7 linked regions of the Cricetulus griseus genome follow. The protein of the gene in region 5 purifies or fractionates together with the protein of the main gene of each other region. This does not show direct contact. Links are inferred from orthologs where the notes say so. Each region holds a gene or a part of one and is shown on either strand. Other genes may lie near its edges. The genes, in order: Znf512b, Srrm1, Zfhx3, Top2a, Chd4, Sap18 and Smarcc1.

Evidence for each region.
Region 1: the proteins of Chd4 (region 5) and Znf512b purify together in Homo sapiens (affinity purification with mass spectrometry; 4 studies listed by BioGRID and IntAct, with this or other methods). This does not show direct contact. The link is inferred for Cricetulus griseus from reciprocal best matches to the Homo sapiens genes CHD4 and ZNF512B.
Region 2: the proteins of Chd4 (region 5) and Srrm1 purify together in Homo sapiens (affinity purification with mass spectrometry; 3 studies listed by BioGRID). This does not show direct contact. The link is inferred for Cricetulus griseus from reciprocal best matches to the Homo sapiens genes CHD4 and SRRM1.
Region 3: the proteins of Chd4 (region 5) and Zfhx3 purify together in Homo sapiens (affinity purification with mass spectrometry, with the first as the bait; 3 studies listed by BioGRID). This does not show direct contact. The link is inferred for Cricetulus griseus from reciprocal best matches to the Homo sapiens genes CHD4 and ZFHX3.
Region 4: the proteins of Chd4 (region 5) and Top2a purify together in Homo sapiens (affinity purification with mass spectrometry; 3 studies listed by BioGRID and IntAct, with this or other methods). This does not show direct contact. The link is inferred for Cricetulus griseus from reciprocal best matches to the Homo sapiens genes CHD4 and TOP2A.
Region 6: the proteins of Chd4 (region 5) and Sap18 purify together in Homo sapiens (affinity purification with mass spectrometry; 3 studies listed by BioGRID, with this or other methods). This does not show direct contact. The link is inferred for Cricetulus griseus from reciprocal best matches to the Homo sapiens genes CHD4 and SAP18.
Region 7: the proteins of Chd4 (region 5) and Smarcc1 purify together in Homo sapiens (affinity purification with western blotting; 6 studies listed by BioGRID, with this or other methods). This does not show direct contact. The link is inferred for Cricetulus griseus from reciprocal best matches to the Homo sapiens genes CHD4 and SMARCC1.

The regions. Positions count from the first base shown.
Region 1 is NC_048599.1:319,933-324,864, forward strand, and holds the start of Znf512b (zinc finger protein 512B), read left to right. Parts: upstream 1-1,851; 5' UTR 1,852-1,998; intron 1,999-2,023; exon of another isoform or gene 2,024-2,243; intron 2,244-3,673; 5' UTR 3,674-3,675; coding exon 3,676-3,799; intron 3,800-4,040; coding exon 4,041-4,183; intron 4,184-4,467; coding exon 4,468-4,596; intron 4,597-4,689; coding exon 4,690-4,932. UniProt on the Homo sapiens protein: Involved in transcriptional regulation by repressing gene expression. Associates with the nucleosome remodeling and histone deacetylase (NuRD) complex, which promotes transcriptional repression by histone deacetylation and nucleosome remodeling.
Region 2 is NC_048595.1:17,923,120-17,927,414, forward strand, and holds part of Srrm1 (serine/arginine repetitive matrix protein 1), read left to right. Parts: intron 1-2,986; coding exon 2,987-3,076; intron 3,077-3,343; coding exon 3,344-3,466; intron 3,467-3,752; exon of another isoform or gene 3,753-3,885; intron 3,886-3,891; exon of another isoform or gene 3,892-4,295. UniProt on the Homo sapiens protein: Part of pre- and post-splicing multiprotein mRNP complexes. As a component of the minor spliceosome, involved in the splicing of U12-type introns in pre-mRNAs. Involved in numerous pre-mRNA processing events.
Region 3 is NC_048596.1:185,043,055-185,047,783, forward strand, and holds the start of Zfhx3 (zinc finger homeobox protein 3), read left to right. Parts: upstream 1-1,374; 5' UTR 1,375-1,506; intron 1,507-4,729. Other genes in the region: spidroin-2-like, read right to left, coding at 716-951, 1,122-1,290.
Region 4 is NC_048600.1:112,078,261-112,082,555, reverse strand, and holds part of Top2a (DNA topoisomerase 2-alpha), read left to right. Parts: intron 1-173; coding exon 174-369; intron 370-1,927; coding exon 1,928-2,019; intron 2,020-2,254; coding exon 2,255-2,407; intron 2,408-2,526; coding exon 2,527-2,610; intron 2,611-3,944; coding exon 3,945-4,127; intron 4,128-4,295. UniProt on the Homo sapiens protein: Key decatenating enzyme that alters DNA topology by binding to two double-stranded DNA molecules, generating a double-stranded break in one of the strands, passing the intact strand through the broken strand, and religating the broken strand.
Region 5 is NC_048601.1:21,323,223-21,327,517, forward strand, and holds part of Chd4 (chromodomain-helicase-DNA-binding protein 4), read right to left. Parts: coding exon 4,265-4,295; intron 4,075-4,264; coding exon 3,939-4,074; intron 3,806-3,938; coding exon 3,627-3,805; intron 3,456-3,626; coding exon 3,216-3,455; intron 1,278-3,215; coding exon 1,074-1,277; intron 956-1,073; coding exon 750-955; intron 431-749; coding exon 299-430; intron 214-298; coding exon 117-213; intron 1-116. UniProt on the Homo sapiens protein: ATP-dependent chromatin-remodeling factor that binds and distorts nucleosomal DNA. Acts as a component of the histone deacetylase NuRD complex which participates in the remodeling of chromatin.
Region 6 is NW_023276807.1:212,950,843-212,954,260, reverse strand, and holds part of Sap18 (histone deacetylase complex subunit SAP18), read right to left. Parts: intron 1,513-3,418; coding exon 1,390-1,512; intron 1,081-1,389; coding exon 927-1,080; 3' UTR 1-926. UniProt on the Homo sapiens protein: Component of the SIN3-repressing complex. Enhances the ability of SIN3-HDAC1-mediated transcriptional repression. When tethered to the promoter, it can direct the formation of a repressive complex to core histone proteins.
Region 7 is NC_048597.1:217,639,145-217,643,439, forward strand, and holds part of Smarcc1 (SWI/SNF complex subunit SMARCC1), read left to right. Parts: intron 1-1,629; coding exon 1,630-1,701; intron 1,702-3,941; coding exon 3,942-4,055; intron 4,056-4,295. UniProt on the Homo sapiens protein: Involved in transcriptional activation and repression of select genes by chromatin remodeling (alteration of DNA-nucleosome topology).

The sequences.
Region 1 (4,932 bases), on a different chromosome or scaffold from region 5:
ATACCACATGGTGCACATAAGCACACTACATTGCAAAATGACTTGACACTTTGATATACACAAAAGCCAGTTACAGGGAGGTGGGGCTGAAGAGTTGGCACAGTGATTAAGAGCACTTGCTGCTCTTAGCCAGGTGTTAGTGTCACACACACCTTTAATCCCAGGCAGAGACAGGAAGATCTCTGTGAATTGGAGGCCAGCCTGGTCTACAAAGCAAGTTCTGGGACAAGCTCCAAAGCTACACAGAGGAACCTTCTCTCAAAAAACCAAAGCCATCTCGAAAAACCAAAAAACAAAACAAAACAAAAGACAAACACACCACTTGTTACTTTTGCAGAGTTGAGTTCCTAGCACCCACTTTAGGCAGTTCACAACTGCCTATAACTCCAGCTTCAGGGTATCTGATGCCCTCTTCTGGCCACTGTGCACACACACACACACAAATGTTTAAAAATCAGCTCTTTGGGACTGGAGAGCTGGCTCTGTGGCTAAGAACACTAGCTGGTTTGCCAGATTTCCTGAGTTCAATTCCCAGCAATCACATGTTGGCTCACAACCATCTGTAATGAAATCTGGTGCCCTCTTCTGGCCTGCAGAGATACATGCAGACAGAACACTATACATAATAAATAAATCTTTAAAATAATCAGCCCTTTAAATCATGACACATAGTTACACATGGACGTACATAACCTGAACATATTACACACATCCCACACACCCTGACATCTAGTTACACAGGCAAACAATCTTATCTACAACAGGACAAGCAGATATGCCATGATGTTGTGATGCCTACACACAACTGCCACCTGATACACATGGTCACTTAAGACACATACCAACCTGTGGGCACTGGCACATCACAGTTGTGAACACTCAGATTTATACAGGGAAAGGTAACAACCTTGAATGTATCTCAGTCTGCACACTGACTGCTACCAACATTCTGACATTCCACACCCTGGAAAGTGCCTTTAATGTCAGCATGTGGGTGGCAGAAACAGACAGTTCTCTGAGTTTTATGCCAGCCTTGTCTACAAAGTATGTTCCAGGCTAGCCAGAGGCTACACAGTGAGACCCTTTTTCAAAACACAGAGTGGGGCTGGGACGACAGTATTGTGGTCACCAAATGAAAGCCCAATTTTCCTCTCTTCCCTCCTGAACAAATGAAAGCTTATCTCTAATACAGGGTATCCCTGGGTTTCCTGTGGAGTTCCAGTCTTTTCACTCTACCTCTTTACCAGCCAGCTTCCCCTCCCCAATCTGCCAAAGGAGAGTTTATTTCTCTCTGCTTCATTTATTCCCAAATCCTGTGGGTTGGGGTGTCATTACCTACCCCCAGATCTGACACTAGCAGCCCAGGCTCTCTCTGGCCAGAGAAGCTAGATACTAGCCATTGGTCTAGGACCATTGTTCACAACGACGAGAGTTGATTCAATAGCCAGTAATCCCAATAAAGCCCAATGGTTTTACAGAGTGTAGATTGACTAAGGTGGCCACCAGGACAGATACAGGCTGGGGCGCACCCTGACTGACAGTCTATGGAGTTCCTATAACGGCAATCTTTCCTCATAGGGTCTACTTCAGCTAGCGCAACCAGACAGGTTGCTTAATCTGTGAGACAGAATTTGTAGTGTCCAGAGAGTTCCTGACATGCCTCAGTTTACTGGACTGTCCACAAAGCGACTCCTGCCTTAGGCACGCTTGACAGGCCTCTTGGTGCTGGTACCACCGGGGATAGGGATCTCACAGCCTCGAGGCACAGGCAGGCCCCACTGGCCCCTTCCCCGCAGCGGCTGCCGCGTGAATACCGCGAGAGTTCGCCCCCTCCCCCCCGCAGTAAAACTGTCAAAGGTGGGAGGGGCGGGAGCGCGCATGTGCGCAGCACGGCGCGGAGTGTGCGCCGCCCGGACCCCGCGCCCCGCGCCCCGCGCCCCGGCTCCGGCCCCGGCTCCGGCTCCGGCCTGGCCCGGCCGCACCCGTTGGGCGCTGCAGGTAAGCGCTGGCCGTGCTCGCCCTACCGCGGCCCCGGCGCCAGCCCGTGCCCCGCACCAGGCGTGTGCTCAGCCCGCCTCCCCGCCGCGCCCGGACCCGCGCCGCGCCCCGCTCCCCGCGTCGGCGCCGTCCTCCCGCCTCCTCCTTCTCCAGAAAAAGTCGCCATTTTGGTTCACTGCCTTCGCCCCCCCGCGGTCGGCGCTTCCGGGCCCGGGCTGCAGCCCGTGTCCGGCCTCAGGTGACAGGTGGGTGGCCACGGGCCTTCAGGTGCTCGTCTTGGCAGCGCTCGCCAGACCAGGAGAGTGGCCTGAGTCCGCGGCGGCGCCCCCTTCCCCGGAGGCTATAAGCGAGATCCTGGGGACCCCAGGTGGTGGAGGGATTTTCCTTCTACTCTGGCGACCACCATGCCTTACCCCTAACTCTGATCTCTGACCAGATTGGAAGGGTGCAGCAGGCCCTTTGCCCCTGGCCGCAAATGTTACCAGGATTCTGGATGACTCGTTTCTTTCTGAAGCTACAAAACGAGAACACCCAGAGAACTTGTTGGTTTAAGACCCTCCCCTCCTTCCCCTAGGCCCAGTATGGGTGTTGCCTTTGGCAGTGGACAGTGGCTGACCTGACGTCTAACCTGAGCGCTCCCGGATATAGCAGCGCCTACATATCCCCTCTGATTTGAGTTGGTCACAAACTGTCAGGAGAGGGTTCCCCTGCTTGAACCTTGCTCTTTGGTACCGCCCCCTTCTGTGGTTTTGGGTACCTCTGAGAGGCCTCCACATAACTATGGTCAGAGCCCCCCTCAGTTTTCAGGGTATGAGATGTCCCAAGCAGAAAAGGTCCCTGAACCTCACACCCCCCCACCCCCAGCATGCTCTGTGCTTCAGCCTGGCAGGCTCTGAAGCTTGGGCCAGTATTGGCTATAACTTGTTTAGCCGAAGTGGGCAACTAGGCAAGTAATCTCGAAGTTATTGAGAATAGCAAGCAATGGTGGCCTGCTAGCCTGTGGTGGCTCAGAGTCCGAACCAGTGCCTCCATCTGGGTGGAGGGGCTCTGATTACACAGAAGGCTGAGAAGACAGGCAGGTAGGATGGCTCAGCAAGCATGGGGACCAAAATGGAGTTCCAGTGGGTCTTCACTTTGCCCACCAGAGAGATGGGTGCATGTGGTGGGGAAGCAGGCCTTCAACTCTCACGTTGGCTGTCTTCTGTGTCCATAGAGAGGTCTTTAAGGGTGCTCATCTGGGTAAGTTAGTATCACATATCTGGAGGGGCAGAGGCCAGGGCCCTAAGGAGAAGGTGTCCCTGAGGCATCATGGCATGGCTGCTTTTGAATTAATTGTCCCCCAAGAGGGATATTATCAGTCTCCTTCCTATTGCACAGTCCCTTTCTGAACACAAGCCCCACCTGATCCTTTGCACACTGTGGTACCATGTGTCTAGATGATGGTGAGATGAGTGTGTCAAATATAGCAAAGAGTCTCAGCTCTTTCCACACTGCTCATGCCTTGTCAGTTATTTAAACAGATCTTGTCTGTGCAGACCCCCTTCCTTGAGTTAGAAGCCCCGATTACATCCTTTTTGATGGGGTAGAGAGGCCTATTGTGGGCCTCAAGGATAGTTCCAATGAAAGCCCTGAGTTAGACCCATTTAGCTCATAGGTCTGTGCACTTGCTCTATAGAGATGACTGAATCCTTCTGTGTTGGAGGAGGCCGCCGGCTTCAAGGGTCCAACAAAAGTGGATCTGGAAAGAGTGGCAGCCGGAAGGATGTCCAGCTTCCCATATTGCAAGACCCACCAAAGCTGGGTAAGGAGCCATGGCAGAAATCAATTCTAGAGGGTACAGATAGCCAGTGGTAGAGTAGGCTACCTCCTTGGATATCCTGAGGACTTTCTTGGGGTGGATATTGTTAGCCTGAGTCTTAAACTCTTGTCCTAGGTACCTTGGGCCTTGGTATGGGTAAGCCAAGACTCAGTCTGGACTTGCTGCCCCATGGGAGGTGGTGGTGTTATGTATCCACTGGGCCTTGCTCTCTCCTGTGCTGTAGGTATGCCAGTGGTTCACAGTGGACATACAGTGCCTAGCCAGGCCTCACTCTGCTTTGACCCCGGAAACCCAGCCAGTGACAGGACAGAAGGGAAGAAAAAAGGGAGGCCGAAAGCCGAGAATCAGGCTCTCCGAGATATTCCTGTGAGCTCCCTGAGGGTGGGGCTGGGAGGTGCTGCTCATACTATTCAGCCTGTGAAGGCCACTGCCCTGCCCTTACCTACCCACAATACATCCTGTGCCAGCTTGTTTCAGCATGAGGCCAAGGGCCCTTGCATCTGACCCATATAAGGCCCCAGTGGGCTATGTTAGTAGCCTGCAGCATGGTTGAATACTTGATCTGCTCTTGAGGTTTAAAGGGTTTGGTTTGGGGGCCCTTTGAATCTGGGTAGCTGCAAATCAGCAGTTTGACCTTTTCCTCTATCCAGTTCTCCCTGATGAACCAATGGAAAGATGAATTCAAGGCACACTCAAGAGTGAAGTGTCCAAACTCAGGGTGCTGGCTAGAGTTCCCCAGCATCTACGGGCTCAAGTACCACTATCAGCGGTGCCAAGGGGTAAGGGGCTGTGGGTCGGGGAAGAGGAGGCCTGGGAGTGCATCTGGGCAGAGGCCCCCGGGGCCCCATCCCACACCTGCCCTCCCTGCCCAGGGCGCTATCTCAGATAGGCTGGCCTTCCCTTGCCCCTTCTGCGAGGCCGCATTCACCTCCAAGACCCAGCTGGAGAAGCACCGGATTTGGAATCACATGGACCATCCTCTGCCTACCCCCAAGCCTGGCCCGGTCAGCCGGCCAGTCACCATCAACCGGCCTGTTGGGGTCAGCAAGCCCATCGGAGTGAGCAAACCTGTTACTGTTGGCAAACCAGTGGGAGTCAGCAAACCCATTGGCATC
Region 2 (4,295 bases), on a different chromosome or scaffold from region 5:
CTTGAGATTAAAGTTGTAGGCCACCACTCCTTTTTTTCTTTTTTTTTTTTTTCCTTCTTTTTTTTTGGTTTTTGGTTTTTTGAGACAGGGTTTCTCTGGCTTTGGAAGCTGTCTTGGAACTAGCTCTTGTAGACCAGGCTGGCCTGGAACTCACAAAGATCTGCCTGCCTCTGCCTCCTGAGTGCTGGGATTAAAAGTGTGCACCACCACTGCCCAGCCTAGCCCAAAACATTTTTTTCTTTAAAACTTTTTTGTTTTTGCAGTACTAGGGACCATGCCCAGGGCTTTGTATGTGTTAGCCAAGTGTTAAACCATTCAGCTATAGCCTTTCTGGATCACTTTCTAGGTACTTTAATAGGGATTTTGTTTTGGTTTTTGAGAACAGGTTTCTCTGTGGTTCTGGCTGTCCTGGAACTCATCCACCTGTCTCTGCCTCACGTGCTGGGACTAAAGGTGTGCACCACCACCACAGCCTGGTAGCTTTGACCTTTTGACTGGCATCCAGTAGTTACACATAATTGGGGGCTATAGTGTGGCATTGTAGCAGGTTTGCCATGTAATGATCGGGTGAGGATAATCAGTATACCTATCACCCCAGACATTCAGCTTTAATTTTTGATTCCTTGCCCCTGATTTTGCACACAAAAACATCCTCAGAGGGTTAGGTTGTGTGTTCTCGGGACATGGTAGAGTACTTGCAGAGCTGACATACTAACTACTGCAGGGTTTTACCTTCTCAAACAAAACTGTTTGGTTCTGAACTCACTATGTTGACCAGGCTGACCTGCAACTCAGAGACCCTCCTGTCTCTGCCTCCTGAGTGCTAGGATAGGATATCATACCCAACCAATAACTTTGTTGTTACAGTACTAGAGACTGTGCCCAGGCCTTTCTACATGTTAGCTAACTGCTCTTGCCACTCTGCTATATTCTCAGCCCAAACAAAAGTTTTCTTGATCACTTTCCAAGGAACTGTAGCCAGCCAGCAAGCCAGTCCGTAGATTTCAAATCGGAGAGCCAGTAACTTCCATATTTAATTGAGCCTGGAGGAACTACTGCTGCCTTCCTGCTCTGAGTTTTGATGGTTTAATTTTCATGGACTCCAGACAGAGTCTCATTGTAGTCCAGGCTGTCCTCAGATTTGCTATGTAACAAGGTTGGCTTGAACCCCAATCCTCTGCTCTTGTCTGAAGTTTTAGGATTACAGAAGCACGACACCTCACCTGGCTTCTAACTCAATAATTCACCCCAACCCCATTCTTTCCTCTCCTCTCTGAGAAAGAATCAGTGACCTGAACAGAGTAGTTGAGAATTTCTGGTCTTCTTAAACTTCCCAGTGCTTGGATTATAGGTGTGCACTACTGTGTCCCACATTTTTGGCCTTGGCATGTAACTCTGGAACACACTGGGTTTCTTGTATCTCTCTCAAACTGTGGAGCTAAAGATGACCTTGAACTTCTGACCTTCCAAATCCGTAGTGCTAGGATTACAGGCACCACCATACCTGGTTTATATAGTGTTAGGATTAAGCTCAGGGCTTCCTGCGTGCTGGGTAAACACTGCCACCACGGAGGTGTATATCTCCAGCCTTCAGTTTTGCTATGCTTACTGGAATTTGTGTGCCAGGCTACCCTCAGTGCCAAACTCTTCCTGCCTGCCTCTCTCCACATTTTTAAAGTTACACCAGGCTGAAGCATTGTAGTCTTGGGGTGTTCTTGCAAACAGTGCTACTATTTGGGAAGAGAATAAAACTTGAAATATTTCAGTTTTCTCATTTAAACACCTGCAGAAGTACACAAGTCAAACTTAACATTGATGTAGACAGGGTGTCTTACTCTGAATGTTACTATGTTTTACTTGTTAAGGATGTACATTAATAATATTAAAATATAGGTGCCTTATATGTCAGCTGCATTTAGAAAAGGATGTGCATCTTATATCTGAATATTAGTTATGGTGTTTAAAAGTCACAACCTTTATTTGCTATTAAAGAATTTAATAGCTATGGCTCAGACATAATATAGACAACTATTTTTTAAAATCCCCGAAAACTAGAAGGGCGTTATAATGTGGTAAAGGAAATGAAGTGAGAAGAACTGCGTCAGTGTGGTGGGAAGTTAGGCATAGGCCCTAAGAGCGAAGGGTTAGGCCATGCTGCTGGCACATGCTGTGAATCCCAGCTCTACTCCAGGCTGCTAGATACCTGAGTTGGAGGCCATCCTGATCCATATAGTGAGTTTCAGGCCAGCCACTGTGTGTGGGAGCTGGGAACAGTGTGCAAACATAACTAAATAAAATAAGTGGAAACTAATAAAGTTTTTTTTGTTTTGTTTTTTTAAATTTTGTAATCACCAGTATGGGGATTCAAGCCACCACTTGGGAAACTGAGACCGGAGAATTGCTGTTAGTTTAAGGGCTGGCCTGAGCTAACAAAAGAAGCTAAGATTTTTGTGTGTGTGCAAGAAGGGCGGGGAGTATTGACAGGGTTTCTCTGTGTACCTACTCTGACTGTTCTGGAACTCTCTGTAGACCATGCTGGTCTTAAATTACTTTATTTTTCTTTTCTTTTTAGTTGTGAAAATTCCTCTACTACTTTTGTATCCACCTGAGTGTTTAAAAAGCAAACAGTACTAATGGCCACTTTGGTAAAAAAACAGTCTCCAACCCTAAGGATTACATCGTTTGGACGGGTTTTAGTCCTGGTATATCAAACCCCTTGGCCATGACAGCAGCTACTACTTCATAGAGAGCACTCACCACATGTTCACTGTTTGATTTTTCTTAAGGCTGTCAGGGTGGCTGAGTGGGTGAAGGCACCTGTTGCTAAGCCTAATGAATTGAATTCCATCCCTGGGATCCACATGCTGGAAGGGGAGAACCCACTCTCCAGAGTTGTCCTCTGACCTCGACATGTGTGCACTATTTTTTGAAAAAGAAAAGGAAAATTTAATCTTGTATTCTTAGGACATGTGTTTGTTTCCTTCAGGGAACAAGTGCGGAGCAGGATAATCGGTTCAGCAACAAACAGAAGAAACTCCTCAAGCAGCTGAAATTTGCAGAATGCCTAGAAAAAAAGGTATTCTGGGTGGGGGCCATGCCCCTTTTTTGTAGCAGTTGTTGCATTTTAGGGTTTGGGAGATGAACTGTAACTCTTGTGTAAAATGTGAGTGGATGAATTCATGGTTGCACATTTGCCACCACATACAGAGTGCAACCAAAGAATGAGCATGGAAGGAACATTTTTTAAATGTACACAAGCTAAGAGAAATATTTAGATAAAGTATAACTGGGGTTCTTACTGCAGTGAACTTGTGCTTAACTAATGGTTTGCATGTTTCATCAGGTGGACATGAGCAAAGTAAATTTGGAGGTTATAAAGCCTTGGATAACAAAAAGAGTAACTGAAATCCTTGGATTTGAAGATGATGTTGTGATTGAGTTTATATTCAACCAGCTGGAAGTGAAGGTACTAATATACAGATGGCTCTTTTTTCTGAATATGTGACATAATTTGTGAATCTATGGAAACTCAGTTTTTCTATGGAATACAAATATAGAAGGATTATTTTACAATGTTTGTTGTGAAAAGAATTCACTTTGTAAACAACTGTTAAGGCTGGAAGTTTAGTGAAGGTACATAGTTTTGAAAAGCTACACAGGTGAAAAATCAAACTTACTGTTTGTAATTTTGCTGTTACATGTTAAGTTACTTTGACAGCAATTTTCTAATGATAATGTGATTTATGATTTAAAAGGCCTGAACCAAAATGGAAGTTATTCCTTGCGTCTGAAGTATAGCACCATCACCTTATTAGGTCACAGCAGAGTGAGTGTCCCAATGTCGCTCTGACCCAACTCCCTTGATGACGCAGTGTGTGTTTGGAGGTGAGTTGTGTAAAGTGGCCGAACATCAACAACAACAACAAAACACAAACAAGAGCAATTGGTAAAGCTGTATACTGCTCTTTAAAGTAGCTTTTGAGATGGACATTTATTTGAAGCATGAGGGGCGATTCTGATTTGATTGGATGATGTTTTTAAAAGAGCTAAAGTCTTCAGCTGTAGTTGCAAGTCAGCTGGTTACCACTTAGAATTTAGGCGCAGGATTTTGTTTACATTCTAGTTAAACTTGAGGCAGATGAACAGACAGTCCTGTTCAAGCCAGTTAACATAATTGTTCCTGTCTTCCAAATGAAATGATACAAGATAATACAAGTGATGTTTTAAAACATTTGTTATAACATAGTTTGCTATTTTGCCATGGCATCCCAAAGGACAGTGTAAAGATGTACCAT
Region 3 (4,729 bases), on a different chromosome or scaffold from region 5:
AAAGACTCGCGGCTGCAGGGGCAGCCTGGGTGGCTGGTTTTCTGAAAGAGAAAAAGCAGGTGTCTTTCTTTCTGTGCTGAGAATGAAGACTAGATTTAGGAGGAGGGTGGAATTCTGTCTGAGAGGACTGGAGACTTCCGGTGAGATTTCAAGGGGCCTGCCTTTACATAATAGGATGTAAAAGGTGAAGTTAGGGGAACCTAGAAGTGCCCAGCAGATGCACCAGTTGAGGTGGCCTTGTTCGGTTTGATCCTGGTGGTAGACTCCCCCTGAGACCAGCACCTTTCTTGCCCTATCTGAAATGCTGTGTGGCTTTTAAGGGCAGTCTCCTTCCTTAAATCGGGTGGCTGCAAACTGCTCGTCCTTTTCTAGTCATTTCTTCCTCTCTTCTCCTTTTCTCCTCTCTCCTCAAAAACTGTCCTTAAACTCTCAGTGGAGAGTAGGGGATGTTTTCGCAAGTTTCTGCAGCTGAAAAACAGAAGTTCTCTGTGAAGCAGTTAATAGGATGGGTGTGTGTTTCAAATAAATTCCTGTCCACATTGGCTAGAGTCTCCTGTTAAGAGTGGCCTGGCTCTGACGTGGACAGGGCCCAGAGACTGATGGATCAGGGTTCGGAGGCCCGGACTGCTGCTTCTTCCTTTTTTTTTTTTTTTTTTGGTGGCTGAGGGCGCGTCCGTTTCTTCCAGGCCGGCCTTTGACTTTTGATGAGCGGTGCGGTCAGTGCCTCTCGGGGACGCGGCTTTGTTCCTGCCGGGCCGGTTCCCGGGTTGGTGTAGGCCGGGGCAGCCAAGGCTCCTGTCCCCAGGCGAGTGCGGCCCAGCCTGCTTCCAAGGCCGGTGCTGGGAGCCAGGGCCCAGCAGACTCGGCCCTGCTTCTGTGTGTTATGTCCCCAGGTCCCCGCAGGCACGCGGGCGCGGCCACCGTGAGCAGTCCGGCCTGCGCCCAGCGCGACTGTAGATGTCAGGCTTTGCCCGGGGAGCCGAGAGGCTGCGGGGCTGTGAGTTTCAAATTAACCTTCCGCTTTGTTGCTGTGTAATGTGGATCCCCGAAGGCCCCCCGCCCCGCCCGCCCCCCTTCCTCGGGCGGTGCGCGCTGCAAACTGCGAGTTGAGCTTCATTTACATAAAGCGATTCCGGGCGGGCGGGCGGGCGGCGCAGGAGGAGGAGAGAGGCGGGCAGGCCGGGACGGGGACCGGGACGCAGCGCCGCGCCCCGTGGGTGAATCCCCGCCGCGCCTGGGGGACCTCCCTCCCCGGGCAGCCCGAAGATCGCCAGCCCGGGCCGCCACCATGCGCGCCCCGCCCCTGCCGCCAGGCCCCTCGCTCCTAGCCTGCGCCACCGCTGAGCCCGGGGGGCAGCGGGAGGTGGGGAGAATGCCGCCTGGGGTGGGTAAGTTCGGGGCTCCGCTGCCGCTGGAATCTCCCGTTGTCGCACAGGCCGGAGTGGTGGCCCCCGGACCTCCGAGTGCCTCCTTCCTCCCGAGGTGTACGGAGGCTTTGTGTGCCAGGTGAGTGCAGCCTCCCTCCCCCGCCGCGCGGCTCGCAGCCGGCCTAGCGCTGGAGGCAGGTGCTGCGAGTCTTGGCTGAACTTCCCATTCTCTTGGGGCATGTGGGGGAAGGGCAGGCTGGATGCACTTGAACTCCTAGACTCCAGTGGGAACCTACCTGGGGAGAGAGTGGCTAGAGTCTGCTGGGCGCGGGAGTACGTTCCTTCTATCCCCTCTCGCTTTCCTCTCAGACCTCCTCCTCATTCTGCTTTTGGGGTAGTTCCTACCTTCCTAATACTTGGGGTGCTGGTGCCACCGAGAACTTCGGGTTCTTTCGTTTGGAACATACCCTCTTCAGACACACACACACACACACACACACACACACACACACACACACACACACAACAGAGAGAGAGAGAGAGAGAGAGAGAGAGAGAGAGAGAGAGAGAGTTAGAAATCGCTGGTCAGTTTGCAGCAATGTGAAGAATGTGCCTGTTTGAGGAGTAATTAAAGAGAGAATCAGTATAGAGCTGGAGGGGACCTATGGAGATCATCTTGGCCGCCCTCTAATTTTGGTTTGTTCTCCTGTCAGAGCCCGTGCAGCATTTATTTGCTATGGGGGGGGGGTGTGAAGGAAGAGGTAAGATTTTTACCCAGTTAAAGATGAGAGGTGTCCAAGTTAGGGTAGCAACAAGAAAAAAAAATGTCAACTCAAAAGTAATTTTTAGGCTTGGAGAGAAACAAGCTTTCTGGAAAACAGCCCTGTCTTGTACATATCTATGTAATGATGATGAGGGATCTTGCCCTCAGGGAAAAGCCCATACATAGCCCATACATGATACACTCAAAGGAGTTTGAACAGCCTGACATAGTGGTACCGGTATGCCAAACTGGTTTAAAGGCAGCCGGTGAGCAGGTGAATCCAGGAGGGTACTTCACCCTTTGCATTTGTGCCATTTGTCAGCCTTTGAAGCACTGGCACATAACCATAGAGAGTATAGACTTCCCATCTGGAACCCAGGGAAGGCCTCTTCTTCAGGCTCTGGCCAAGTAGGGCCTGCTTGGTCGAAGGCATCAAGGAACAGCAAGGCAAACAGACTTAATCCTTGAAGAGAGATAGTGAGAAAGTTACACGTCATCTTCATCTTACTTCATTTCATGCTTTGAGATCCTTGGAGACGAGTCACTAAATAAATAGAGTATAATTTGAAGCTCACCCTAGCTGGGGGTAACTGTTTCTTTGCCATCAAGCAGCAGGTGTAAGTTTGTAGAGTTGGCCCCTAGAGTCCCCTCATTCCTAAATTCAGGAGGTGTCAAACCTTCATGTTCTTTTAATGGCTGTGGTTTCTGGATAGCTTTCAAGGGAAACCCTAAAAATCACGAGTTCCAGTGGGATGGGCTAGAGTGCTGTGGCCCAGACTACATTAAATAGGAAAGCATAGCCCTTCCAAGGTAACAGGCTGCAGTAGGGAACTGGGAGCCTGTTTCTTGTTATCACAGCATCCACCGGCAGCCTGAGATTCTAAATCACAGACATAGCAAACGGTTATGAGTGATCTGGAGACCAAGATTCTTAATCATTGAAGGATTTCAAGAATGGGGTCTTTGGAGAGAGGTAAATGCTTGTATGTTTGCATACCTGTATTTGTGTTCATCTAGTTTGGAGGGGTTCTTGAAGGTTCCCTTGTAGAGAGTGTGCAGCCATGAAGGCCAAGAGCAACTTTACCCCTTTCTTTTCTAAGTCACAGGACAAAAGAGATTGTCTGCATTTGATTTCCAGTATGGCTTTCAGAAGACATGTAAAGTGGCTCTCAGAGTTGGCTGGGGGTCACACTGGGTCTTTTATTTAATTACACAAGTGTTATTTAACAACATGGGGTCGGTGGCAGAACCAAGCACTTGTACACTTTGAAAGCAGTTCTTTTGGAACGGCACGGAATTAAGTGCCTTGAAGACTTTCTGTCTTTATGGCAGGGGTCACTTGCCTCCCTCTCACCCCACCCAGTAGGTATACTTGCTGTCTGTGGGATGGAACTCTGGTTTTCCACATCTAAAATCTGTTTTGATTGACAAGAACTTGCTGGCTCTGAAAACAACAAAAACAATGAGCTGCAACTGCCAATCACCTAAAACATTAATTTTGGTTTCCTTGCACAAGTGAATGCTAAGGGAATGTGGAAAGGCCCAAAGAAAACGGTACTTCCAGGCAGACAGCAAAGTGCTTTCTTGCTGTTTTGGGACTGGATTTAACTGCCATGTAAACTTAGTGCCAATTGGACTTCCTAGTGTCAAGGAGCTCAAATACGTGAGATTTCAGCCTTCACCATTAGGACTTAAAAGTGGTGGCTTTTATACTTTTCCAGGACAGGCCTGGCTCACTTTGGGCAACCCAAAAGGGGGTTCATTTATTAGAATAAATCTGTAAATGCAGACTGATAGAACTGGTCTGCTCATGCTGACGGAGGTTTAGCTGGTTCTTAAAGGAACTAAAACTGAAGTTTTGGTCACATGTGGTGTTCATGGACTATGTCCTTATTGCTGATGTGTGCGTGTTTGTATATACATGTGCCATGTCTGAACTGTTGTTCCTTTTGGTGTATCTTCTGGAGGCTTTGGAAGTGACAGTGTGAGAGCTTAGGAATGCTTGAGGGCCCAAAACAGATGCCTTCCTGGGCAACTTAGTTTTACTGGGGAGTTCCAAAAGTTTCATCTTTAAAAGTAAATATTTAAGTGACTAAGCAGTGTTTTCTCAAAATGTGTGGAATTGCTGTTCCTGCCTGCTGTCTGCATTGATGCCTGGAAGAGTTCCTAGCTTGCTTCCCAGCTTAAGGCCCTGAGTCTTTCCTCAGTGGGGAGGCAGTGGGGAGTCTGGCTGCGGAAGCTTGTCTAAGCCCCACCTCCTGGCTGGCCAGCACTGCAAGAATAAATGCACCTGATGCTCGCTGTAGCAACCTCAAGGAGTACAGTATGTGCTGTGGTTTTTGCTTTCATTTGTGATTAAAATGGTTGCTTGCTGTTAGGCTGGCCGATTGCTGTAATGTTTGGGCCTGTTGGCCTACTCTGGTTCCCAAGGCTGTTGTAATTAACCAGTATGGGGGCGGTACCATCAAAACACAACAGGAAGGCAGATTCCATTATCTTGAACTTCATACGGTTGTCCACAGGCTCTGGTATGAGAATTTGGTTGTAATGGTTATTGTTAGAAATCACAGCATAGCTGTGACTCTCCAATCCTTTCTCT
Region 4 (4,295 bases), on a different chromosome or scaffold from region 5:
CATGGGATAGTGCTCTAAGCACAGGTTGCAATACAAACATGCAGGCAAACATCCATTGATGTAAAATCTTTTTTCAGTAATTGATAATTGATATTTAACGGGCATTTCTGATAATTTTTATAAAGGTTATGCAATTTATTGATTCAAAGCTTGAGTCTTCTTTTCTTTTCCAGGTGCTTTTTGACCATGTAGGTTGCTTAAAGAAATATGACACTGTGTTGGATATTCTAAAAGACTTCTTTGAGCTTAGGCTTAAATATTATGGATTAAGAAAAGAATGGCTTCTGGGAATGCTTGGTGCAGAATCTGCTAAACTGAATAATCAAGCTCGTTTTATATTAGAGAAAATAGATGGCAAAATAATCATTGGTATGTAAAGTGTGGGCTAACTTTCCCTAGATTGTTTATTGCTGTTTGTAGGGTTTTAGTAGTACTTGGGCTCAAATCCAGGGCCTTATAACTTGCTAATTGTGTACTCTGTGTTAGCCTTACCCCCTAGATTGAGCATCTAAAGAAATCAAGACTAAATGTTTAGATAGGGAAGAGACTAGAGAACTAAAAGACCTGTGTGGGGCTGGGGTGTAGCTTAGAGTGGTAAAATGCCTCCTGACATCCACAGGGTCCTAGGTCCAACTCCAATAACTACATCAACTTCCTGTGGTGGCACACATCTGTGTTCCCAGCACTGGGAACAGGAAGCAGGAGGGTTAAGGCCGTCGTTGGCTCCGTAGTGGATTTTAAACCAACCCCGAGTACATGGGATCTTGTCTGAGAAAAAGACCTTGTATAACTAATTGATCACAAGAAGAAACAGTAGTCTGATCTTAAAAGAAGACTGAAAAAGAGGCAAATCTTAGGGATGTTTGTTTTGTTGGAAAGTCCATAAAAGAAAAAAAAAAGAATCTTGACTAAAGCTGGGTGTAAGAATGAAGCTCAGGGGCTGGAGAGATGGCTCTAAGGTTAAGAGCACTGACTGCTCTTCCAGAGGTCCTGAGTTCAATTCCCAGCAACCACATGGTGCCTCACAACTATCCGTAATGAGATCTGGTGCCCTCTTCTGGTGAGCAGACATGCACACAAAACAGAACGTTATATACATAATAAATAAGTAAATCTTTAAAATAAAGAAATAAAGCATAGGCTAAACGGTGGTGTCACACACCTTTAATCCCAGCACTGGGGAAACAGAGGCAGAAGGATCTCTTATGAGTTTGAGGCCGGCCTGGTTTACAGAGTGAGTTTCAGGACAGCCAGGGCCACATGGAGAAAAGACCTTGACTAAACATCAAGTTCAGTGACAATGAGTGGTTCTCTGAAACTAGTGACTTTGACAGTCCCTCAAACCATAATTGGCTGCAGCAGACACTGAGAGAGGGCCATGTTGTGTGGTGCTGTAATTAAGAACATCAAGCTTTGAACAGATTGCTAGAGCCTAGACCAATGAAACATTGAAAGAAACGCCAGAAAACATAATTGAGTCAGTCACAGGCTCTTCAGAAATGGAGGCTTTGACTCTTCTCTATTCTTTTGAGAGAGAGCTAATAGATTTCAGCCTCACCTATGGTTTAAATGTCTCCTGATAATTCAGTTTTCCTTGTTCACAGAAATTTGTCTATGATCTGGACAGAAATAGAGGCAAAACATAGACAGTTGAAATTCCAGTTTTGTGGGTTTGTTTATTTTGGGGTTTTGTTTTTTCAAGACAGGTTTTCTCTGTGTAATCCTGGCTGTCCTAGAACTCACTCATGTAGGCCAGCCCTGGAACTCATAGTTCCACTTGCCTTTGCCTCCTGAGTGTGAGATTAAAGGTGTGCACCACCACCTGGCTTGAATTTTCCAGTTTAATCTTTCAATGTAATGTAGAAACACCTTATCCTTTTTCGAAAATTTTGCTCAAAGTTTATCTCTCTTTTTTTTTTTTCAACAGAAAATAAACCTAAAAAAGAGCTAATTAAAGTTCTAATTCAGAGAGGATATGATTCAGATCCTGTAAAAGCCTGGAAAGAAGCTCAGCAAAAGGTAATTTCTTTGCTAGCCACTTGCTAAGCTCCGAATATGTTCATTCTATTTATCTATTGGCTATGACATGCATGCAGGCAGAGCATCCATATACATAGAATAAAAATGGGGAGACTTTTTAAATTAAAAAATGTAAAATCTGTTTTCTTGCATTTCTAGAGGTCACAAGTTAAAAAAAAAATCAAGGACCATGTATGTTTATATTTCATATTCTGTATTTTAATTCATCCTTTAGGTCCCAGATGAAGAAGAAAATGAAGAAAGTGACAATGAAAACAGTGACTCTGTAGCAGAATCTGGACCGACTTTCAATTACCTTCTTGATATGCCCCTTTGGTATCTAACCAAAGAAAAGAAAGATGAACTGTGCAAACAAAGAAATGAAAAGGTAACTTGTAGATAGACTGGAATGGCCGGTTTAATATCCTTTTGGTGGGGAATAAAGTAAGCTGTTCTGTTTAAAAAATACTATTTGTACATATTTACACTCTCAATTTTTTGGTAAAGGAACAAGAGCTCAACACATTAAAGAACAAGAGTCCATCAGATTTGTGGAAGGAGGATTTGGCAGTTTTTATTGAAGAACTGGAGGTATGTATTTATAAAGCCTATATTAATACTAGTAGACTAGCAACATGCCCTTTCTTAAATATGTATATTTCTTATGTATATGTGTGTTTGTATGTTGGGGAAGGTGTGGGTAAATGCAAGTGCTCACAAAAGCCAAAGGTGCCCATCCGCTGGACCTGTAGTTAGTTACAGGCAGTGGTGAGTCACCTACTGTGGGTGCTGAGAACTGAACCTCGGCTAGAGCAGTAAGGTCTCTTAACCACTGAGTACCTGTCCAGCTCAAACAGCATCCCTTTTTATCAAGAAGCTTCATATTTAATAAAAGAAGAGATATAAAAGGAGAAAGAATATATCCCAAAATAATAAAAAGGCAGGATATGGTAAGTAGCCACTTAGACAGTACACCTATAATCTCAGACTAAATTTGAGGCCTGCCTGGGCTACCCACTGAGTTCCAGGCCAGCCTGAACTATATATGTAATGTACTAAGACCCACTCAAAATGCAAGTACTACAATATAATTGTAGAGCACTTGTCATACAGGTGCAAACTTTTGCCCTCTCTGCTTAGCACTTCAAAAAAGAAAAACATTAAAACACATTAGGCAGAGCATGGTGCACATGCCTGTAATTCTAGCATTTGAATGGAAGATGAATTGAGGGTCATCTCAGACACAGGGACTTAGAGACCATGCTGCACAACATGAAAACAAAAACAGGAGGGCAGGTGACTCAGCAGGTGAAGCACTTGCTGTACAAGCCTGGTAACCTGAGTTCAATCCCCAGAGCTCAGGTAAGGAGGAAAGAGCCGACTCCACATAGTGGTCCTGTGGTTTCTATGTGCTTGCTGTGACGTGCACATGCACACACATACAATAATGATAATATATTTTAGAGAGGGAAAGGAACAGGTTATTAAATACTAGTTAGCATAAAGTAAGTGATGGCAAGAAATACACTAAATCAGTATTTTACAGATTAAAGAGAGAAAGTTAAGTCACTTTTAGAGGTGGCCCCTCAGTTTCAGAATGTCCTTTGTCACTTAAATTTCCTTAGTAGTACTTAGTTTTTTTGATATTACAAATATATAGCTTATCCTATAGAACAGTTTCCTCTTTGTCTTTAGAAAGATTAAGTGATGACATTAGACATCAGTTAGACATAGGCACCCAGTTCTCCTGTCTCTGCCTTCCTAAAGTCATCCACATCGTACCTTCACTACCCTGCATTGGACCTTCACTATGGCTGATCATGGATTTATCTTAAATTGTAAAAATGGAAAGTTTACTTAACTATGCTTTTTAGGTGTGATGTTCTCCTCACCTATAAATTTATTCTCATAATTCCCTTTGATAGGTTGTTGAAGCCAAGGAAAAGCAAGATGAACAAGTAGGACTTCCTGGAAAAGGGGGGAAAGCAAAAGGGAAGAAAGCACAAATGTCTGAAGTCTTGCCTTCTCCTCATGGAAAAAGAGTTATTCCCCAAGTGACCATGGAGATGAAAGCAGAAGCAGAGAAGAAAATTAGGAAGAAAATTAAGGTAATAATTTGCTTCAAGTTTCCTTAGAAATTGAACAAATGGAGCTGGGTGTGGTGGCGCACGCCTTTAATTCCAGCACTCAGAAGGCAGATACAGGCGGATCTCTGAGTTTGAGGCTAGCCTGGTCTACAGAGCGAGTACCAGGACACCGAAGATTACCCAGAAAAA
Region 5 (4,295 bases):
CTTAGCCAGAGCCATCTGTAGGCTGTGACTCACAGCCTCACTCACCATGAGAATGCAGCAGGCAAGACATACTGCCCACCCAACAAACGATGCCCTTCCTCTTCCACCCAACTCACATCAACAGTTGGGGTCTCCGGAGGCCTCTCCAGTTTCCGAAGCTTCACCTTCTTGAGCTTCTTGCCTGGCCGTCCTTCCTCTCCCCTCATTAACTCCCTAGGAATGGAAATGGACCACAGCTGCCTAGGGGTCCCTTCAAGGGGGCAGCTCTACTCTTTCCCCTGTCCGTTTGATCACCTACCTGTGATTCCAGTAGCCCTGCTTGAACAGGTCATAGTCCTGGATCTCCACATCCTCACTCTCCCAAGATGCCTGATCATAGGGTAAGTCTCGCCACTTGATTAAGTAGTGAACATGGCCCTTCTTGTCCACACTACAAGGTCAATAAAGAACAACTCCTCAGAGCCAGAAAGCAACTTTCCTCACCTCCCCAGTCAGTCTTGCTCTTAAAAACTGACAAAACCATTCTAAATGTGCCAGACTCCACATGTATTCAAAGCCTCAATGATATCTGTCTCTGGACCACTAATCTCTAACTTATGCTCTCCCTATGGGCCAAATTCCAGGACTCGGTCACTGAATTACAGAACCTAATTACAGAGCCTAAGTCACTGGCGATGGCCATCTGCTAATTCCTAACTCCTTTAGAAAGAGCCCCTAAGTACACCACCTCCAGGGAGCCAAGCTGGTACCTGTGGTTGAGGATTCGGTGGATCATCATCCACTCCGGCTTTATTCCATAGCGATAGAAGCGCTCTTCCATCTCTGCAAACTTAGGGTCCTTGTTCTTTCGCTTTCGGCTCTTCTCTTCATCTCCACCAAAGTCCCCAGAAGGTGGCTCATCCATATCATTCTTCCGCTGGTAGTTTCGGAACATCACCTGACAGTGCAGCTCCAACTGGGAGGGGGAAGAGAAAGTAAACCACCCTGAAACTCCATCCAGCCCCTACTCACAAGGCTGTTTTCTCAACACCTCTGCAGTATCACCCCACATACACAGCCTGTCCCAGGCTCACCTGCAGTTCTGATACCCAGGAGCAGTGCCAGTAAGACATGCCTTGCCATTTTACAAAGAACTGTCTCTCTGGCCGCCCCTCCAGGGGTTTGGGAGAAGGGGTATTAGGATCAGCATCTGGAGGCCGAGGCACTGGTGTGGGAGACGGCGGCTGGCCCCACTTCCAAATCAGGATCTTCTGCACTTTGCCCTTAAGAGCTGGACACTGAAAAAGAGATCACTTTATCTCAAAAAGCTGCACAAGGATGAGAACATGAGTTCAAATGGCCAGCATTTGGCAAGATGAAACTTGCTGGTCTTCCAAAGGAACAGCATTTGATTCCCAGCATTCCCATCGTGGCTAACAGTAATTTGTAACTCCAGTTCCAGGGGATCTGAAACCTTCTCTCACTGAATACACACTGTGTCTACACATACAGTCAACAAAAACACCCATCATAAAACAAAATTGCCAGCACCCACACAGAAAGTCACACAGAGTCATGCACACCTGCAACCCCAGTGCCATGGGAGCAGATGAAAGGAAGGATCACGGGAGCCTGCTAGCTGCCAGCACAGCTTCAGGTTTAGTAAGACTTGTTAATATTCTTTCCAAAGGAATAAGGTGGAATCATAGAGTAGAACACTGCTCCTTTCCTGGCCTGGGTACACAAGAGGCCTGGATCCCTGCACATACATGTGCATGCATATACAACACACACAGACAGTTTTTTTGATTTTCAGCTAAGTCTCACTGAAGAGCCCTAGCTGGCCTGAAAGTCAATATACAGACCAGACCAACCTTAAACTCACAGAGATCTGACTGCCTCTGCTAGAATTAAAGGAATGTACCATCATGCCCAGAAAAATAAAAATTAAAAACTACAGAGAGCCTGATGACCTAAGTCTTTGATGCCAGCACTGGGGAGGCAGAGCTGTTAACTGGAGACCTGCCTATCTGTTTTACACAGTGAATTTTTTTTTGGGGGGGGGGGTTCAAAACAGGGTTCCGCTGTGGCTTTGGAGGCTGTCCTGGAACTAGCTCTTGTAGACCAGGCTTGATTCGAACTCACAGAGATCCGACTGCCTCTGCCTCCCGAGTGCTGGGATTAAAGGCGTGTGCCACTAACACCCAGCCAAAAAAATGTGTTTTAAATAGTTATATAAACAAATTAGCAGACAAACCCAAAAATCTTGTCAATGAGTCATTAAGACTTCATTCCAAATAAAAAATAACCCCATAGGCCGGGCAGTGGTGAGTTTGAGACCAGCCTGGTCAATAAGAGCTAGTTCCTGTCTCGAAAAACAAAACAAAAAAATATATAACTCCATGACCTTCTCTAGGTAAACAACACTAGAATATTCTCTTCCTTTCTGGACATCATCACAGAGCTTAAAATAAAAAGCCAAGGAGCTATACAATAAGCAATAACCCAGAATAGCTGGGCATAGAAAATCCACAGACCTAGAGCCAAGAGATTCCCTGTCTCAAGCAACCTAAATGCAATAGACGGGGTCTCAAACAGTCTAAGCTATCAAGAACTGAGGTAATACATCAAGACTGAAGTGAAGCTGTAACCTGAGCTTTTCTTCTGATACTCAGTAAGATGAGAACGATGGTATGAGTTCAAAGCCCACTTGGGCTACATAATGAGCTCCTTGTCTCAAAAATAAGTTTATTGTAGCACCTGTATATAAGAGCTGTTATAGGACCAACCTAGGTGTTGGAGAAAATGTAGTATATTAATAACAATGCAATTTTTCAGCTATAAAGAATTATCATTTACAGGAAAATAGGTTTATGACAATCATATAGGCAAATTAAGTCAGTCTTAGACAAGTTTTCTCTAATCTTTGAGTCCTAAACTTACAGACACATAAAATCATGTATGCCAGAGGACATAAAAGTAGACACAATATTATTGAAGAGGAACAAAGGACTGACAGGAAGGAGAAGAAACCTCAATGCAACAGGCAGGCAGGAGGCAGTGGCAGGGGAATCTCTGTGAGTTCGAGACCAGCCTGGTCTACAGAGTTCCAGGACAGGCTCTCCAAAGATACACAGAGAAACCCTGTCTCAGGAAAAAAAAAGAGGAAATTCCTGTCTCAGCTAGAAATGTGTAGGTCTCCAATGATTTCTCCCGCCCTCACTGAAGTCACTTACAGTACAACGGGGACAGAGCCATTCGCCATTTGGGATCTCAGGCAGTGGGGGGTTCAGGCAGTGGATATGGTAGGAAGAAGGGCAGGTGTCACAGCATAGTAGCTCCCCGCCATCTTTGCAGACTCGACAGAACTCCATATGGTGGTCGTCTTCCTCTTCTGGGTCTCCCCCAACCTCTTCGAGAATTTCCTCACCCTCAGAATTGTCCTCTTTAGCTTCCCACTGGATGCCCTCCTTCTCCTGCAATAAAGAACCAGAGATCAGATTATTACCACCCCACCCCCACCCCAAGCCAGCACCTACTGTCCCTTTACATGTTTCCCAAAGCTGACAGCCATTTCTATTTCTATCTAGGCCCAAAGAAGCTCACCCCCGACCCTTGCCCTAAGGGGTGGGTACCCAAGTACTCACACAGTGTGGGCAGCTCCACTTGCCCTCGGGGGCCTTCTCCATGTCTGGGTCCAGGCACACCATATGGTAGGCTCGGGGACAGGTATCACACAGGATGATCTCACCGCCTTGCTGGCACACCTCGCAATAGTCCTGGTGGTCTGTCTCATAACCATCCACAGCAGTCACCTCCTCCTCGCCTGGGCAAGGAAGAGGGAAAGCCCAATTATTAGAACAAAACCACCTCCCCCCAACCCTTATCTCCTAAGGGAGATTCTTCCCTGGCCATTCTCACCCTATCCCATTAAACCAAAATACAGAAAAGAAACACACCTTTCTTTTTCTTTTTAGTGGTCCGGAGTTTCTTGCGGCTCCGACTACTTCGGCTGGTAGAACCATCCGAAACAGAGTAGCTATTGATGCTGGCATCATCGAAGTCAGATTCCACATCTAAGTCATCATCCTCACTCTGGAAAAAAAAAATAAGAAAAAAAAAAAAAAAGGTTAAAAGCCCAGGCCAAGGAAAGAATGGTGAAGAATCCCAGCAAGAATTGCAGAGAAGGAGCGTAGTCACACCTGCCTAAGGCAGTAAAATACCCCATTCTCATGTACCCAACAGAAGCTCCCTCCTTCCCCACTGGGATGAACCAGGCTCTCACCGAGGATCTCTTCCGCTTGGAGCCAAAGCCT
Region 6 (3,418 bases), on a different chromosome or scaffold from region 5:
GCGGTACTTGGCAGTATGTTCTGTACAGTCCTGGCACACACAGCTAAGCTGTCCTATACAAGCTGGAAAGTGGTAGAACAAATCCAGTTCTTCATGTCAGAGAATAACTATTTAGCTCTCTTCCTCCTCCCTTGCCCTTCACACACACATCAGCATGACTGACCTGCTCTGCCATCTCTCCTGCCCTGCAGGTCCTACTCTAAAGCTTTTACAGCTTTCCAGCACTTCACAGGACTGCTTCCTTCCCTCTCCCTCCATTCTCAGCTCTTCAAGGTAAACCTTGATTGAACCTTAGGCTTTGGCTCATTTCTTCTCTTCAACACATGCATGGTGCTATAGTCAGGAGTGGGTCAGATCCCCTAGGACTGCAGTTAGAGTTGTGAGCCATCATGCAGATGTTGGGTGGGGCCTGGGTCCTCTGCAAGAGTAGCAAGTGTTCTTAAACTGAGCCGTCTCTCTAGCTCTTGCCACCTATTTTATTTTGTTATTTAAGCGAGCCAAGCTTTTCCAACACAAGATGGTTTTTTCAACGTCTTATTCACACACGCCTATAGTCTAATACCACAAACTGACTGTACCATTTTATACAACCCCATGGCTTTCTTGTTCTGCCTCTTGAGGGCTTAAAATGCCCTCATGGTTGAGACTCTGTTCCCAGGTCTCCATTAACTTCACACCTGGGCTAATTGCACACATGTATTTCACAACAGTTTTACACAGAATGCTAAGAGCACTTTTCGTATTTTACAGGAGGACTTAAAACATACAGACTTTAATATACCAAAGTACATCCAACTCTAATTCCTAAATAAATGTGTTACAATTTGCTTAAAATTTAAAGGCTTAATGGCAAGGTTCAAGGGAGGAAAAGATTAAGTTTATTTTACAAACTGGCTGAAAAATAACTTGAAGAAAGTCAATAGAATTTAGTACGGTCTCATCCGTCCTGAAGGAGGTGCTCGATTTGGAGGAGTGATGGCTATGTCCAGATAATCCCCTATTTGGAACTTCTGTGACTGCAGGGTCATGGAGTCATCAGTGCCCTTCCTGCCAGACATGGTGCTGCCAATCTCCTTAACTCTGCAGTGAAGGAAATCAGCCGTTAATAGACTAGAACTGCATCGATGGAACAGTATAGACTACAGAGAACATGAAATGGTCTCTACACAACAGATTTCCAGAATTTAAGCACTACATTCAAGCTAAGCCAGATCTGAATATAAGCCTATAGACACCACCACTAAAGAGAGTATCCTAAAGCCAGGCATGGTATCATATGATATGCCTATAATTCCAACACTGAAGCCTGAAATAGACTGATAACTTCATCTTGTCAGAAAAGGGTCCTGCAAACTCCAGAGAGTACAGAAATAGTAACAAGTCACCTACCGATATCCAGGTCGTTTAAGATCCATAAAAACAATTGCAAAATTGAAGTGTGTGCCCTTCTTTCTGGCTTCTGGGTAGACTTCCTTTACTAAACTAGTCAGTTCTTTCAAGGTTGCATCCATCCTAAGGTTTTTGAAAAGATAATACGATTAATAAACATTAGTGTAACAGGGACATAAAAAACAGCAAGTTGTACATCCTTGAGTTGTATTCCAGGGCCTCACACTATATGAATTACCCACAAGATGGCCTGGCAGGGAAAAGGCAATTTGTGGCACAATCCTGGCAAACCGTGTCAACCCAAATAAAGGTCAGGAGAGTACCAACTCCACAGTTGTCCTCTTGACCTCCTCAAGCATTTCATGGGATGTGGGCAAACACACACAAGTAATAATTAAAAAATTATTTGCCTCTGAATATTTCCTGTGCTGGCCTCAATGCTAAAAATATCAATAACTCTTACTGCAAGAGTTTAAGGAGATTCCCACATAACCACTTCTGAAGCTACACAGCATCATCTGGCTCAGTGATGTACTTACCCACAAGTAACCAGTCCAAGTTATTCAACTGCACAAATTAACTGTTTAATTTCTAAGATATATAATCTCATACAATGCAGCCTCTAAAACTAGAATGCATCTTAGAATCAATGTGCTGGGATAGCATCTTCATAAGGATATGAAATTTCTTATTCTCTAATAGAATCTTGATGGAGGCAGGCAAGAAGGCTTAGCAAGTATCATTGCTTGCTGCCAAGCCCGATGACCTAAATTCGATCCATGGAGCTCACATGATAGAACAGAGAAGTAGCCTGTCCTCTGTCCTCCACACATGTACCATGACACTCCCATACACTACATATACACAGAAAAGTGTAATGAAAATTTGCCAGTGAGATGGCTCAGTAGGTAAAGGCACTTGCTGCACAAGACTGTTGTCCCAAGTTCAATCCCCAGAATTCTTAAGTAAATGTGGAGAGAAAATATCCCAAAAGATGCCCTCAGCCCTCTACAAGTGATGTAGTACTTGCACAGTGCACAACACAAAATAATAAAAAATGATTTTTAAAACTTATGTGGAAAGTTCATTGGGGGAAGGGAAGGGAGAGTGGGGAGAGAGACAAAGACAGAAAACGGCAGGAAGAGAACAAAAAAATGATTTATTTATTTTTTTTTTTAAAGATGGAATGAATCCTAAAGCCAAGGACATGAAATTTTGGGTCCTTTTACAACACAAGCCATTAACTTAAAAATTCTTATCTAAACAGAAACAGAGGAGTGGATGGGGGGGGTGGCAGAAGGCAATGCAAGGAGAGGAGTGAGGGGAAACTGCAGCTGAGATGTAAAATAAATACAACTTAAAAAAACTTCTGAACTCAGAACTAAAAATAGTCTTTTGGACTAATATAACACAATCTAGAACAAAGGAACTGAAAATGTAAACATTTTAGCAATGTTTTAACAACCTCGTTCACATATTGTTTTTGCTCATAACAACAAGAAAAGTGAAATGCAAGGTCTAAACTTAAAACAGCATTTTGTGCAAAGTGCTGGGGGAAAATGGCAGAACACTAGACACTTGAGAATTAGAACACTGATGTAACAGCATCAAGGAAAAGAACCAAAGAGCCCATTGCATTTCTACTGTGAACTGTACAATCAATTTCCACACCACCATATTCAAATACATGGAGTGAAAATACCAAAGATGACCAACCACACTGTCCTCCATTTTCTATTCCAAATATTTCAATATTCCTGTAATAGAATTTGCTCTTCCAGAACATGCCCTTCTGCTAGTCCAATTTAATTAAAAAAAAAAAAATACCACCACCCTAGTTAAAGCTGTCGAAGTCAGGTTCTTGTTCCCAAGTTCTTGTTCCCAAGCAACGTACTACTGAGCTACACCCTCAGCTCCAATCTATAAACTGCTGTGAAGTGCCACCTGTTGTCACCTCTAGGGAAGGGTCTCACTGCATGAACAGTACAGCCCAGCATGCCAATGCCTGACACCTGATAAGTCCCAGTCT
Region 7 (4,295 bases), on a different chromosome or scaffold from region 5:
CTTAGAAAGTAAAGAGGAAAGATGTCTGTATGTATGGTGCAGACACAGTTACTTTCACATGGTGCTGTGGGTGGAACCATGTTACTCTCTTGATAGCATTACTTTCTTTCACTGACCTTTTGCCCCATTGTTTCTTAAAGACTTACTTATTCATATGTATATGGTGTGCTGCCTGCATGTATGCCTGCACACTAGAAGAGGGCACCAGATCTCAATACAGATAGTTGTGAGCCACCACGTGGTTGCTGAGAATTGAACTCGGGACCTCTGGAAGAGGAGCCAGTGCCCTTAACCTTGGACCTATCTCTTCAGCCCCTTATTTATTTATTTATTTATTTATTATTTGCTCGTTCATTTGTGCACTTGTTTGTTTTCTGTTTGTGTGCCTGCTGAAGCATGAAAGTAGAGGTCAGGACAACTTGCTGGAATTTTTTTCTCCTGCATCAGTATATGTTTAGATGATTGAAGGCATATTTGGTGGCAAGATCCTTTGTCACTGAGACGTCTCTGTGGACAGCCACCATATGACATCGTAAATGTAGATGAAGAAAATGGAAGGACCAATCAGCTTTGTTCACAGATCATTGATATGTTCTGTCACATATAACTAATACTTAACATGATTTCTCTCTGGAAAGCCTTCTTTGGGACTCAGATGTCATCACACATAACACACACACAAACACACACATCTATAGCAGAAATCTGGATATACAGTTGATTCAAATAGAGTTTGCTAAGCCTGATCATTTTTTCTTGGGCTCTACAGTACTTCCAACCTAAAGAATGTTTTTAAATTATTGAATTTATTTATATATAGTTACTTAATAAGATCTGATAATCCCTGAGAGATATTTTAGTTCATCACAGTTTCTGAGGGCTAGAAGAAGACAAACTGGTGTTTAGGAATTTCAATAACTATTATAAATTCCAACTCTTGACTGACTACATTGTGTGACCATACTTAGTATTCTGATCTTTGTTAGCCACTTTCCTTAGAAATCTTTTCATTTTGTGCCTTTATTGTTGTAATAGTATAAAGAGGAAGTAATACAATATATAATTTTTATTGTCCTCATAGTTGGTCTTTTATTTATTTATTTTTGGAGATTGGACATTGAGTTCTACCCCACGATTTCAGTCAATATTGACTCTCTCAATTGTTGGTGTTACAGACTTGAGCCACTATTCCCAGCGGAAGTTTTTCAGCTAATTAGGGAATAGAAACTACAGTATATACTTTGGGTAGAAAACACAAAAGTTTTTAACTGTGTTGTTTCCTCTTAAATGTAAAGGAAATTATTCAGTCAAACTATTTTTAGTAAGAAGTACTCAGGTTTTGGATTTATTTATTTGTTTGGTTGGTTGGTTTTTCAAGACAGGGTTTCTCTATGTAGCTTTGGAGCTTATCCTGGTACTCAATCTGGAGACCAGGCTGGCCTCGAACTCACAGAGATCCGCCTGCCTTTGCCTCTCCGGTGCTGGGATTAAAGGCATGCGCCACCAATGCCTGGCTATAGTTTTTGGATTTATTAATTTTCCTTTGAAACTTGGATAATGCAGAACTCATTTTAAGATTTATTTCTTTTTCAAAAAACAATGTAAACCTACGTACCTCTTTTCTTTCAGTATTCATGTGATTGAACGGCGTGCTCTTCCTGAGTTTTTTAATGGAAAAAACAAATCCAAGACTCCAGAAATGTGAGCCCAGTGTTTATCGAACTTTTTATGTTCCTAGCATGGATTTGTTGTATATGAGTGTTTTGCCTGCATGCGTATTCATGTGTACCATGTATGTGCAGTGAATGTGATGTCCAGATGAGTGCATTGGGTCTCCTGAAGGTGGAGTTAAAGGTTATGAGGCAAATCTTGGTCCTGGGCAAAATCAGAAGCAAGTGCTTTTAACCACTCGGCCTTCTCCCTGCCTCTCTTGATTCAAAAAACACAATCTCACATGGTTGTTTTTTACTTTTTTATTTTTAATAAGCAAATAGTGTGCACCACTCAGAAATTATGTGTATCTTACTTCTGCATCATTTTAACTTTAAAGGAATGTGTAGTTTTTCCTAAACCTCAGGTGATATGTGTATCAGTTCTAGCACTTAAATATTGAATCTAGTAAATGAATTTTAGTTGAAGTTTGTAATAGTCACTTTTAATGTTTCTATAGCTATATAATGGTCTGGTAGGGAATGAAATCTTTATCCCCATGGTAAATTATTACTAATTACATTCTCATTCAATTGCATTTGAATTGAGTTAAATTTTCTAAAGCATTTGCTTTTGCAATAGAATTAGGAAAAACTGGAAGGAAGTTGCTTATCAGAACAAATATTTGTCTTGTTCGTGTGACCCAATGTTATATATTTCTGGAAGTTATGTTTTTTTGTTGTTTGTTTAGCTTTTATTCTACTTTTTTCTGTTTGTTTGTGATAGGCTTTACTGTGAAGACCAGGCTAGCCTAGAACTACAGTTACACGCCTGCCTTTGTTTCCTGATTGGGATCAAAGGTGTGCTTGGCCAACTTCTTGAATGTTTTATCTCTGAAATTAATTCACAGCTCTCCTTTCTTGGAACATGACTCTATTTCCATTGCATGTGTGTACTTGCAAAGTTAGAGTGTCCTGTGATCACCCTGTTTTAGGAAGACATGATTTAAATTCTTTTCCATATAAAACACATGGGCCCACATGCACTTAACAATAAACATATTATGGTTTTATTTTTCCATGTTAATTTGAATACAGTGCTTTGATGTCAGAAATAAGGGCTGTATTCGAGTTACCAAATTCCAGATTGGGATTTAAAGCCCAGATTGTTTTCCACCCTTAAGTGTTTGGGGAGTCATACTTTAAAATTAGACTTTTCTATTTTAGCCTTTTTGTCTTGTAAATTCAGTCATTTTTGTATGCCCATGGTTGGTCTGTATGTAGCCTTTTTGAAATTTTTGACTTTTTGCTCCTACATAGCTGCTCACATGTGTTGTGAGACTTTCATTTTTGACATGCAAAATTTTTTTGTTAATGTATGCAAAAACTTGTGATAGCTTACACCTTTAATCCCAGCAGAGCAGTTAGATCTTTGAGTTCAAGGCCAGCCTGGTTTATAGAATGAGTTCTAGGGTAGCCAGGATGACACAGAGAAGCCCTGTCTTGGGGGGCAGGGCAAGGGAACCTGTTGGTAGATGTCACAATCCTTAACGTTCCTGATTTTTTTTTTTTTTAAGTAATTCATTTAATGTTATTTTATGTGCATCAGATCCCCAGGAACTGAAGTAACAGGCAGATGTGAGCCACCATGTGGTTGCTGGGAATTGAACTTGGGTCCTCTGGAAGAGCAGACAGTGTTCTTAACCACCTAGTCATATCTCCAGCCCCAACATTTTTGAGTTTTAAAAAGCAATTGTGGCAGAAATGCTACAGTATTCTGTGGAGTCTTATGTGACTTTTAGTCTCAATTTTTCTTGCTTTTGTATGCTTTGGTCTTGCCCTGATTTGTTTTCTCTTTGGTTGTTTGTCTAGCTAAGTCTCCCTGAATGGAATGCCCTGAGAAAGTATATTGATGTGTCATAACCATGTCCTTGGGTGGAAAGCAAGAGTGGTCACCCATTATGAACATAGATCTGAGATGTGGTCTTCTCACTTTCCAGCCCTCAGTCTAGGACAGGTCTTCAAGTGCTCTGTGCTTCAGTTTGTGTGTAAATGGGATGATGAACCTGATTTTACTAGGGTTCTGGGTATTAGGTGAGCGAGCTACTTCACAGTGTGCTTAGCAACCAAAGGTAGTGTTCAAATTACCTCATGTGTTGTTACAATGTGGTAAACATTTGTTTTTCATTTTATTGGTTATGAACTCATTTGAATTACTAATATTTTAGTACAATATCAGTGTTGTTGCTGCTTAATATTGCTGTCATTTTATGTCTTTGGGAATATTTTTAGATACTTGGCATATCGAAATTTTATGATTGACACATACCGTCTAAACCCCCAAGAATATTTGACCAGTACTGCTTGTCGGAGAAACCTGACTGGAGACGTGTGTGCTGTGATGAGGTAAATGTTTGCCTTAGATCCTGTGCCGATTGATTTACTTTTCAAGGTTTTTGTTACTTTTATTCAGGTGTATAATGCGTGCCAGTTTGAGCTTGGATTCCAGAGGAGGAACTAGAGGGAGTTAGGAACAGTTTGACGTGGGTGTTGGTTGACAAATTTGGGTTTTCTGAAAGAACTTAACTGTCTCTTGCTCTCATATCTGACAAGTTTTACATGATTGAACTCTTTCCTTTTCCTTCC